Linked DNA regions of Neurospora crassa OR74A. Each later gene encodes a partner of the first gene's protein in a complex. Links are inferred from orthologs where the notes say so. Each region holds a gene or a part of one and is shown in the gene's direction. Other genes may lie near its edges.

Region 1 (3,380 bases):
GCCTGGCAGGATTGTTTATCGGTTGCGCCGAAGAGCAGGGTCGAGCTCAAGCCGTGGAGAAAGTTATTTTTCTCGGAGAACATGAGGTCGGAGCTCTTGCTGGCGTTGCCCCAGCGCAGGTTGGCGAAGTCGGGAGACGTTTGACACTGTATCGATTCAAGGATTCGTTCGACCTGCCAAGCGAGGACCAAGATAACAGGTAACCGCAGCGCAAGCCGAAGAGTCCAGCGTAGTGCAAGTCGGCGGCGAGTAGCGGCGAATATGTGTGTTCGGTTGAAGACAACGGCCATGACGATGCATGCTAGAGCCCACTTGCTTGTTGCGTAGCTAAAGACGCTCCCTAAACCTCTTGCGCCCTCCATTGTAAATCGTGATGCGAAGGCGGCTGACTCTTGGCCCGTAGCAGTGGCCGCGGCCGAAGATGATGCGGATTCGAGTATGGCTCGAGCGGCGTCGGCGGCGGTGGTGCTGTCAGGAGTAGTCGTGACAAAGAAAGCGGCTGGATCGGTCGACTCGGCTATGACGCGCTGGCCAAAGCCGTCAATGGCATCGGGGTAGAATATATAGGAGCCGCCCAGCTTCCCCAGCTTCTTCACCATCCTGGGTCCCGCCCAGACCAAATCCTCGAGCGTAGGCGCCAGTTTCGTCACGTTGAACGCATAGCCCAGGTGCTGGGCGGTCCAGAGCGTGAAGTTGTGCCATGCGCTGGCATTGTTAAGCACCGGGATGGGTACTGATGTCGACGCCAAGGCTGCCGCCGCCGTTGCAGCACCCGGCAGGAAAACACTATCGTCCATAATGGGATCTTATGGAATGGAAGGTGAATGTATCACGCTGAGGTTCGGGCTCGCAAACTCCTCTTTTACTGCGTAATGAGCTGGGTGGCGATCGCCGGCTGCGTCGGCAACTGGCTAACCGCCTATCTTCACTTCTGTCTCTTCCTGGTTGCGCGAGTCCTTGTCTCTCATCTGGTGGTTTCGCTCAGGAAAACGTCCAGCATCTTCGCATGACAGAAAGGGGCGGCAAACCGAGACGGTTGTTACGCGTATGGACAGCTGTTGGGTTCCCAGGTTGTTTGATATAGTAAGTATAGAAGCTGGATTTCAGGATGCTGAGACGGCCACAACATGGAGACTGAGTGGGAAACCAGAGACAAGAGGGGAGAGGACAGGACCGCTGTTGCCGCGGGACGAGACACACCCTGCGACAGCGGGCAAAGCGGAGAGAATGGACTACTTACCCGACACTGCATCGGAGCAATCAACAGCGAGCAACAGGCGGGCCTTGCGATAAGTTGCATGGAATGATAGCCGAGCGGGATGAGGTAACTGGTGGGGCCCCACGCCCCAGACAGGCTTGTTACATTCGTGTGTAGTGTACAGTGCCTAGACTAGAGGTAGTAGCCTCCTAGCGTCACGTAGCGCAGCTGAGCCCAGGTGGTGCCTCCTGAGCGCTTCCCGTCCTTGCGCTAGGCATAGAGTCCCTTGTTGAATTGCGGATCCCCAACTCACCACCAAAAAAAGCAACTCCACTAAGAACTTGCACTTGGACATCATTACACTTCAAGATTGCTCGGTGATAACCGACCACGACACCTACAGTACCTACTAGTCCTATTCTTGCGCACGAGCATTTTACGATCTTCACGATCATCACGCGCATAGATCCTTCGTACCGTTCCAATCGCTATTTTTAAAACGTCGATAGCCACCAACAATGGCTTCAGCTGGACAGGCCCCCATCGCTACGTATGTGTCATTGCACTCCGACACATACAAAGCACTGGCTGGTGTCGGGTGTTTCTTTCTAGTCGAGAGGTAATCCCGGAACACGATCAAGCTAACCGACCCATGTTTGCGGTTTGTGTAGAGTCTATGTACGCAATCTCGAGGAGCGCGTCAAGCCAGAGCCCCTCAAGGAGGCCCTGCGCACCATCTTCTCCGAATACGGCAATGTGATTGATATCGTCGCCAAGACCAACCTCAAGGCCAAGGGCCAGGCCTTTGTGGTCTTTGACAAACCCGAGTCGGCTCAGGCTGCCATCGATGAACTCCAGGGCTTCGAGCTGTTTGAGAAGCCCATGGTGGTGACCCTGGCGCGGACGAGGAGCGACGCTACGGTTATTCAGACTGGCAACGAGGAGGAGTTTGACCAGCACAAGCGCAGGCGCATTGCTGAGAAGGGTATGGTCCCTTCGCCTCCCCGACCCCCAATTAGCAGCGAGAGCATTCGATCTGACAATCATCCGCCACAGACAAGAAGAGAGCCCTCGAAGTCGCCGAACAACAAAACCGCCTCAAGCGTCCTCTCCAGGGTGCCGCCCCCGATGCGCGCCCTGCCAAGAACCAACGCGGTGCCGGCCTCAAGGCTACGGGCCAGGGCCCTGCTGCTGTTGTACCCGACGAGTACCTACCTCCCAACCGTATTCTCTTCGTCCAGAACCTACCCGACGACTTCACCAAGGACGACCTCACTACCATCTTTTCCCGCTTCGATGGCTTCCGCGAAGTCCGTACTGTGCCTGGTCGCAGTGGTATCGCTTTCGTCGAATACGATGCCGAGGCTGGTGCAATTACCGCCAAGGAGAACACGGCCGGCATGGCCCTGAAGAACGGCGAAAAGATCATGAAGGTTACCTACCAGAGACAGTAGAGCATGTTTTGAAGGATGCGTGCCCGGGGAAAGTCAACAAAGGAAGCAGTAGTATTGTGCGATACAGATGTTATGCACTGCACAGTTTATCAGAGTGTGCTAGAAGTTTTTCGTTTCGTGAGGGCACCACTCGGGCAGTTCGCAAAGCGCCTTCTTCAGATACCCATTGCTACAACAAGATTAAAAACAAGACAAACTCCTCAATTGCGCCCATGCCCTTTGCCTCAACAATTCTCATGCAAACAAAACATTCTTGATCGTCATCGACAGTCCGTCCAGCCATCAGCGATTCGCAATACGTTAAACAGTTGACATCAAACTAGAAGATGACGTCTTCGTCCTCCTCGGCAGCCAAGATATCGGCAGGGGTGTTTTCGGTTTGTTCACCTTCAGCATTCTCAGAGTCTGCAAGGGCTAGCCGCTGCTGCTCTGCCTTCTTTGCTTTCATCTGAGCGTCAGTTTCCGCATTGTCTCGTTGCTTCTTGGCAGCAACCTTCTTGAGTCTGTAGAACTCCTCTCTGTCAAGCTCGTCGAGTTCCGAGTTGATGTCTATAATAGCTGTCAGTAATCTACCCTAGTGCCGGAACCTTGGGGTTTACATCTACTTACACTTGATGGTGTTTTCGGTCCGAGGAATAATGACGTGCTCACTAGAAACTCCGTGTTAGTGTCCCCCATTCTATCTTGCAGGGAAGACAGGTTTGGTTCGCCTTACATCGCATTGACTC
Region 2 (3,220 bases), on another chromosome or scaffold:
CTGAAAGGCGATGCAATCACGGGGAATCTTGACCTGTACCGTCTGGCCCGTGCGGGACTTGATGTAGAGGCCTGCCTTCGGGTCTGGAGATGTAGGGAGCTCGCCCAGAGGGGGTAGCGAGCCATTTACCGATGGGTTGACAACTGGGGGCGTGGCCGCCTCGTCGACGAACATGGCGGAGGTCAAGCCGGTAAGACAACCGTGGTCAAGATGGGTGGCGCACCAGTCGTCCTCATCGCCCTCCTCCTCCTTGTTGCTCTCCTTGCTGGCATCCGTCGCGGTCGCCTCCTCGGGGAAGTAATGCAGGAGACGGGCCTTGGTGGTAGTCGAGGTCTTCACGACACCCTCTAGATAGCCCGCCGGATAGCCAGCAATCTGCTTCTCGGCGAATCGGTCGCAGGCACGCGCAACAAGGACGGCAACGTCGATAATCAAGCGACAGAGATCTTCAAAGGTAGGCTTGAATCCAGGCAGGGTGCTCTCCTGGGGCCACAGGTTGGGCGACAAGTATTCGGGGAAGTTATCGGGGTTGAACTCCTCCGTCGGCTTTGCGCAAGACAACGAAGGGTCAACATAAAAGGCGCAGTTGGCATAGTAGGAACCCTTCAGGTTGTCGACCTGGCCATTTTTCAAAGTCTCCTTGCCGAGCGACCAGCCAGTCAGATACTTGGCCTTTTCGTTTTCGAGCCGGTCAAGTTCGGACTTGGGAAGGTTTCCAAGGTACGAGGAGTAAGATAGCAATCGGTGGCGCAGCTCAGCGAATTCCGCGGGGACGTCCTTAACGACCAGGATGCCGAGTGAATCGGGACCAAACGCCTCCTCGAGTGCCTCTAAGGAGACAGTTCCTGTCAAGATGCCATGTCAGTAGGGTCATTTAAAATTCGTCAACCCTGATCTGTAGTCAGAGCGGCCGGCTTATAATCGAGGTAATACGCTCGAGTGTGACGGGTAATTTACCGTTCTTCAAATCATTCAAAGATACCGTAACCGCCTGTGCAATGGGCGCCATTTCTATAAGTGGTCGAAAGATAAACTGTTGAACAAATCGTTCAGATACTAAAGCGATCAAGGAAAGCCGTCACCGCCGAAGAGGATCACAGGTCTGACTTGTATTACCTCGTAAAATTTTCCGTTTCTAAACGACTTACGTATCGTCTGGATCTTATAAGATACTCAAGGAACCAACCAAGTCGATGGCCGACGCTAACCAGTTCCCGAGCCGCTCAGAGTCTGCCAAAGCCTTACGGACCTGCTCGACAAGGGAAGTGGGCCCGGCCGAGAGATGGGGCATGAGTGGGGGCCCGGCCGGCTCCAACGGGCATTTCCGGGCCTTCCACTGCCGCACCCCGAAGCGGGGTTTGCCCAGCAAGCATGATGGGGCAAGGACCGTTGAATTTCTTATCGATAAGACTTCGATCTTATCTACCTTTAGGTAGGTACCTAGGTATGTAGAGGTAGGTACCGCTATGGACTTGTCTTGTTTCCATCATCGTCGGTCGGATCGGTCACGTCAACACACGCGCTCGATTGAACCATAACTTTCGAAAGCAGACCGCAAAACAGCCACATACAGTCCGACGGAGCATCAAATATGGTGAAACCTCTCACCTTTAAGGGCGACAAAAAGGCCAAAAAGAGAAAACGCACAACAACCGACCAAAACGACGATGACGTTCCAGAACGGCAAAAGAAGCAATTCAAAGCATCAGCCACCAGTTCCGATATCACCACTACTGCCGCCACCGCTTCCAATGAAGAAATAGAAGGCGAGGAACACGACGACAGCTGGGTATCTGCCGACACGCCCTCCGACGTATCTGGTCCCATCATGTTCGTCCTCCCGACCGAGCCTCCGACTGCGCTCGCCTGCGACGTCACGGGCAAGGTGTTTACTTTGCCCATCGAGAATATTGTGGACGGCAACCCGGCGACGGCGGAACCGCACGATGTGAGGCAGGTGTGGGTGGCGAATAAGATTGTGGGAACAGAGAATCATAGGTTTAAAGGGCATCATGGGAAGTACGTTATGATCAAAGTTTCTTCTGAGAAGCCCCCTTCATTCTTCCCGGTTCCGACCAAAACTCGTCCTATCCGAATAATTACTAATCAGTTCTCCCTGTGATTTTACTAGGTACCTAAGCTGCGACAAAATTGGTCTCTTCACCGCTAACTCCGATGCCATCACCTCCCTCGAATCCTTCACCATAATCCCGACCTTCGACACACCTGGCACCTTCCAAATCCAAACTTTACGGGACACATTCTTAACAGTCCGCGCATCGAATTCATCAAAAGCTAACGCGGCACCTGAGGTGCGCGGCGATGCGACAGAGATCTCGTTCGATTCCACGCTGCGAATCCGGATGCAGGCGCGGTTCAAGCCGCGGATCAAGGCGTCGAAGGAGGAGAAGGCGCGGGAGAAGATTAGCCGGCGCGAGCTAGAGGAGGCCGTGGGGAGGAGATTGGAGGAGGACGAAGTGAAGAAATTGAAGAGGGCGAGGAGGGAGGGTAATTATCATGAGGTCATGTTAGATTTGAAAGTGAAGGGAAAACACGACAAGTATGGTTAAGGGAGCAGGCAGAGGTGAAGAGAGACGGGGCCTGCTGGCCACGCGCGTGCGGGGGGGGTTTTAAACCTACCTCTACGATGGTATGAGACTTTACACGATACCCAAGAAAATGTGACTTAGATCTCAATAGATGGAACTCATTGGTTGGACTTGAAGACTGCACTATGTATCTTCCAGTGATGATTCTATAACACGTTGGAAGCAGCGCAAGAGGGAAGGAGTGACATTGAAGTTGCACTATGTTTCGGCAAGAAGAGGGCTGGAAAGCAACAATAACTTGATACACCAAGTAGTCCTTGATCTAACGCGCCTTACACCATACAACGCCGTAAAACCACTTGACCGTAAACTTCCTTAGGCTCTATCCGATCAGGCCATCATAAAAATTGGAAAAACTATTTGGAGAAAAGATAGGAAAAATAGAAGATCAATAAAATGAAATGAAAAGAAAAACCCATGCCCAAGGGAATGAGAGCCAATAAAAAGTCAATCACGAACGCCGCTATACCATGCTAAGAGTATTATTTTGTTACAATAAGTATTCAGGAACAGAAAGTGAAGAAAGAGATGACGGGGTCGACCTAAGATTCGAGCCGCATCCGTTTAGCATCTTGATTGTTCCCAGTGTCATTCTCGGGCCCAGTACTTTT
Region 3 (3,752 bases), on another chromosome or scaffold:
GGGTTCGTGCTGGTGACGGGCTTCTTGAACTTCTGGGGCTTCTCGCCGCTCGCGTCGCGGAGGAGCTCGGCCTTCTTGAGGATCTCGAGCGGCTCCATGTTGCGCACGCAAATGGCCTTGGTGCGCCCGTTGATGTAGTGGCCCATGAGGATCGGGTGCTTGGCGGGCCGGGGAGAGACGACGAACTCGATTTGCGGGTTGGCGGCGGCGAATTTGGGGAGGAGGGATTTGATGAAGCCGCTAGATGGAGGAAGAAGTAAGTGTTAGTGAAAGAGTCTGTCTGCTGAGGTCGCGAAGGGAGACTGGAGGGATAAGGAGGGACGAGGAGGGACGAGGAGGGACGAGGAGGGACGAGGAGGGACGAGAAAAAGGGTATGTAGTGGTGGATGGATGGATGGATGGATGGTCGGGGACGGCGGGATGGTCTCGAGATCTTGGGAGGATGTCGGTTTGGTTGGACGTGTAGAGGTATTGGTATATGTGAAAGATGTTCGATCGGGAATGAGGTTGCGATGTCCATATTCGAAGAATCCTAAACGTACTTCATGCCCCGGGAGCTGCCGGCCCAGTCACTGTAGTGGATGTCCAACTTCTTGCACTGCAAGACGAATGCGCCGACGCCATTCTAGATACAAAACAATCAACGATTAGCATTCTTTTTTTTCTGAAAATTAAAGTTTTTAGTTGCTCAGGCTGCGGTCTAACTTACACGGCCGGCAGAGGAGATCTGCGTCAATGCTTTTACCGTCATTGTTGTGATGCTCTTCTTCTTCTTCTTCTTCGCCGCCGTCCTCGCCTTGCAACAAGTCCGAGTCCACCAGGGTTCATGATCCGGAGGGCGGGTGCGACTTGAACTTCTGCCAGACTCCCGCCCCGTCGCGCGCCGGCACGGCACTGGGGGTGGGGGACCCGCCCAACTGCAAAAGCGGTTGGCAGAATCAATTTCACGCGATTGCACTCCTCCTTGGGTGTGTGCGTAGTGATAACGAAGACGACCTAAGGGTGCACGGTCCCTCTTTCGCACTCAGTCGTTCGGTGGTCGAGCGCGCGAGAAAGCTGCCCAGCAAGAGCTCCAGTCGCTGCGAGGCTGCCAGGCAGTGGACGACACAACACCAGACAGGGCCCTTTGCTGCTCCCGCCTCCCACCCTCTGTCTCTCGTCTTCAGCTGTCCAAGCAAAGTCGCGAAAATGCGGGTTTGACCTTTCTCGCAAACCGACAACACCACATTATCGCCATCACAAGAATTGGCAAACAGTAACAGCGTTCAGCCTTATTGAACTGTTCTCGCCCGGCTTTCCGAACAGTGGATCAAACGCCAGACGACCTACATTTCCTGGTTTCCGACATATCGATTTCATAATTCGACGACAGATAAGATCAACAAAAAAACACCACTTGACCAGCTACAACAGCGACAACGTGAAGCGACAATGACAGACCGGCTCCCGCCTAACCTCCTCGCACTCTTTGCGCCCCGGCCACCTCTGCGCTGGGTGCCGCCCTGCGATGTTGCTCCCGAAGAGCGCAAGTCGGCCTTCATCACCCCCGTTGCCGACTTCCTTCCTGCCATGCAGGCCTACGAGCAAGAATACGAGTACCATCCCACCGAGAGCTGGCTGGAGGCGCGCGACCGCAAGAAGCGCGAGAAGAAGGAAGCTTTGGAGAAGCTGTTGACCGAGGGTCCCAAGAATTGTACGCGGCAAACCCCCAACGTTACGCGCAGTTGTGCTCGCTACTCCTTTACTTGATCATGATCTTGCTGTCGTGCGGCTTGCTAACCGATGGCGTTTATCTGTAGACAACCCTAATGACGATCCCAACATCAGAGGAGATGCTTTCAAGACGTTGATAGTAGCGCGTCTTGACTACCGTGCTGATGAACAGGATCTCGAGCGCGAGTTTAGCCGCTACGGTCCTATCGAGCGTGTGAGTTTGCAAACCCCCCCTCCTCCTATATCATGATTTCACAGCTATGTGTGTGTTAATTGACAAGAACTGACACCAAAAAACAGATCCGTATCATCAGAGATACCCACGCCGATGAGAACCCAAACAAGAAGAAAAAGCCCCATCGTGGCTATGCTTTTGTCGTTTTCGAACGCGAAAAGGACATGAGAGGTAATGACCAGCCCCCCTTGACCCCCCCCCCCCCCCTCTTCTTGACATTCAACCAGCACACACAGACAAGGAAACGCCCGCTGTCGGTGCTTTTCTGTAAGCCCACAACCAGGACTCGAATGGCCCTCAAGCTTGCCTGTCCTGCGGAAACTTTTTCGTCTTCCCTCTATCCATTCATCTTCCACGTCGTATACCTTAAAGGTAGTATTGTTTCTTCATGGTAAGGCCTTACTGACACCTGCGCCTGTGGCGCATGCGCAATCCAGCTGCTCTAGATGGCTGTGATGGCGCCCGTATTAAGGATCGCCGCATCAAGGTCGATGTAGAGAGAGGCCGCACGGTTAAGGGATGGAAACCTCGTCGTCTCGGTGGCGGCCTTGGTGGTCGTGGTTACACCAAGGCAATGCCCGCTAGGCCCATGGGTCCCGGTGGATTTGGCGGTCCCGGTGGCTTCCGCGGTGGTGGTTTTGGTGGCGGATTTAGAGGACGCGACCGCGGCTTCAGGGGTGGTGGCGGCCCCGGCGGCGGCTTTGGAGGTGGTGATCGCTTCGGTGGACGTAGCGGTGGCGGCGGTTTTGGTGGCGGACGTGACGGCGGCCGTGGCTTCGGCGGCCCAGGTGGCAGCAGTTTCTCGCCTCCGTCTAATGCTCCCAATGGTCCCGGTGGTGGCTTCGGCGGCCGTGACCGTGACAGTCATCGTGACAGGGACCGCGATCGCGACAGCCGCAGGGACGGTCCTAGCGGAAGCAGCGGTGGGTACGGTGGGCGTGATGGCGGTCGCTCATATGATGACAGATCTGGCGGCGGAGGTTTCCGCGGCGGCGAACGCAACGCTCGGCAGACTGGCAGCAACATGGAGCCCATCAGGCCTAGAGAACCCGGAGCCCCAAGGGAATCCAGAGACGGTGGGTATCACGGTGGCCGCGACTACGACAGGCCCAGAGATCACGACGACTCATCCAGGAAACGCGGATACGACGGCGGATACGAAGACCCCAGGAAGTTGCGGCGCTACTAGACATGATGGCTGCGAAACAGCATTGACAGACCTCCTAAGCAACAACAACATACTGGTCCGGTTTGTCTCGTGGTGGGTATCATCAGCCCCCTCTCACTGCTCTCAAGTTTCCACTCAGTATTATTCTTCCCTTTTCCTTCGACGATAAGGGTAAGCCACGATGATCACTTCTCACGTGTCATACTTGACTATGGACCGTGTCAACTATCCACGACCAGAAGAATAGTGGGAGGTATCCATGTTCGAGACACTTGGACGTCCAAAGCGGATGTGATTATCTTTTCCGGTGGCTAAGGTAACCGCGTCATAAGGATCCAAAGAGCAATGGTTTGCATGCTCATCAGCCCAAGTCCGAATGGCAATCCGTCCGGCCTTCCGTTCCATCGGTCTGTCAGTCACATCAGTCCAAAGACAACTGGAGGTCTAGAACTCCAGGTGGCACTGGTGAGAGATTTCGTCAACGCATGCACGGTGGTGTGGCACCCGTCGCATACAACCTTGGCAACTTAGGACAGTACACTCAAAAGCGTTCCGCCATTGTCTTTTCGGGAGTAACAAGACATCAATCAGCATCCGTTGCAGGAAGCTAAAATCGAGGTAAAAAGAACGAAAGCC

The links.
Region 2: NCU08034 (region 1) and NCU02559 share a complex: the UniProt entries of both Schizosaccharomyces pombe proteins name them as parts of the spliceosome. The link is inferred for Neurospora crassa OR74A from reciprocal best matches to the Schizosaccharomyces pombe genes usp102 and frg1.
Region 3: NCU08034 (region 1) and NCU07548 share a complex: the UniProt entries of both Schizosaccharomyces pombe proteins name them as parts of the spliceosome. The link is inferred for Neurospora crassa OR74A from reciprocal best matches to the Schizosaccharomyces pombe genes usp102 and usp101.

What each region holds. Positions count from the first base shown.
Region 1 is NC_026504.1:3,974,000-3,977,379, forward strand, and holds NCU08034 (small nuclear ribonucleoprotein U), read left to right. Parts: upstream 1-1,538; 5' UTR 1,539-1,716; coding exon 1,717-1,748; intron 1,749-1,869; coding exon 1,870-2,183; intron 2,184-2,254; coding exon 2,255-2,652; 3' UTR 2,653-2,853; downstream 2,854-3,380. Other genes in the region: NCU08033 (hypothetical protein), read right to left, coding at 1-797; vma-8 (vacuolar ATPase subunit D), read right to left, coding at 2,972-3,201, 3,262-3,302, 3,368-3,380. UniProt on the Schizosaccharomyces pombe protein: Involved in nuclear mRNA splicing.
Region 2 is NC_026501.1:2,733,797-2,737,016, reverse strand, and holds NCU02559 (hypothetical protein), read left to right. Parts: upstream 1-1,471; 5' UTR 1,472-1,591; coding exon 1,592-2,019; intron 2,020-2,131; coding exon 2,132-2,570; 3' UTR 2,571-2,719; downstream 2,720-3,220. Other genes in the region: NCU02560 (hypothetical protein), read right to left, coding at 1-845, 958-1,009; NCU02558 (MADS-box MEF2 type transcription factor), read right to left, coding at 3,152-3,220. UniProt on the Schizosaccharomyces pombe protein: May have a role in processing of pre-rRNA or in the assembly of rRNA into ribosomal subunits. May be involved in pre-mRNA splicing.
Region 3 is NC_026503.1:4,407,059-4,410,810, forward strand, and holds the start of NCU07548 (hypothetical protein), read left to right. Parts: upstream 1-1,082; 5' UTR 1,083-1,431; coding exon 1,432-1,693; intron 1,694-1,799; coding exon 1,800-1,927; intron 1,928-2,013; coding exon 2,014-2,119; intron 2,120-2,385; coding exon 2,386-3,137; 3' UTR 3,138-3,752. Other genes in the region: NCU07549 (mitochondrial 54S ribosomal protein MRPL51), read right to left, coding at 1-240, 543-625, 710-751. UniProt on the Schizosaccharomyces pombe protein: Involved in nuclear mRNA splicing. Essential for growth.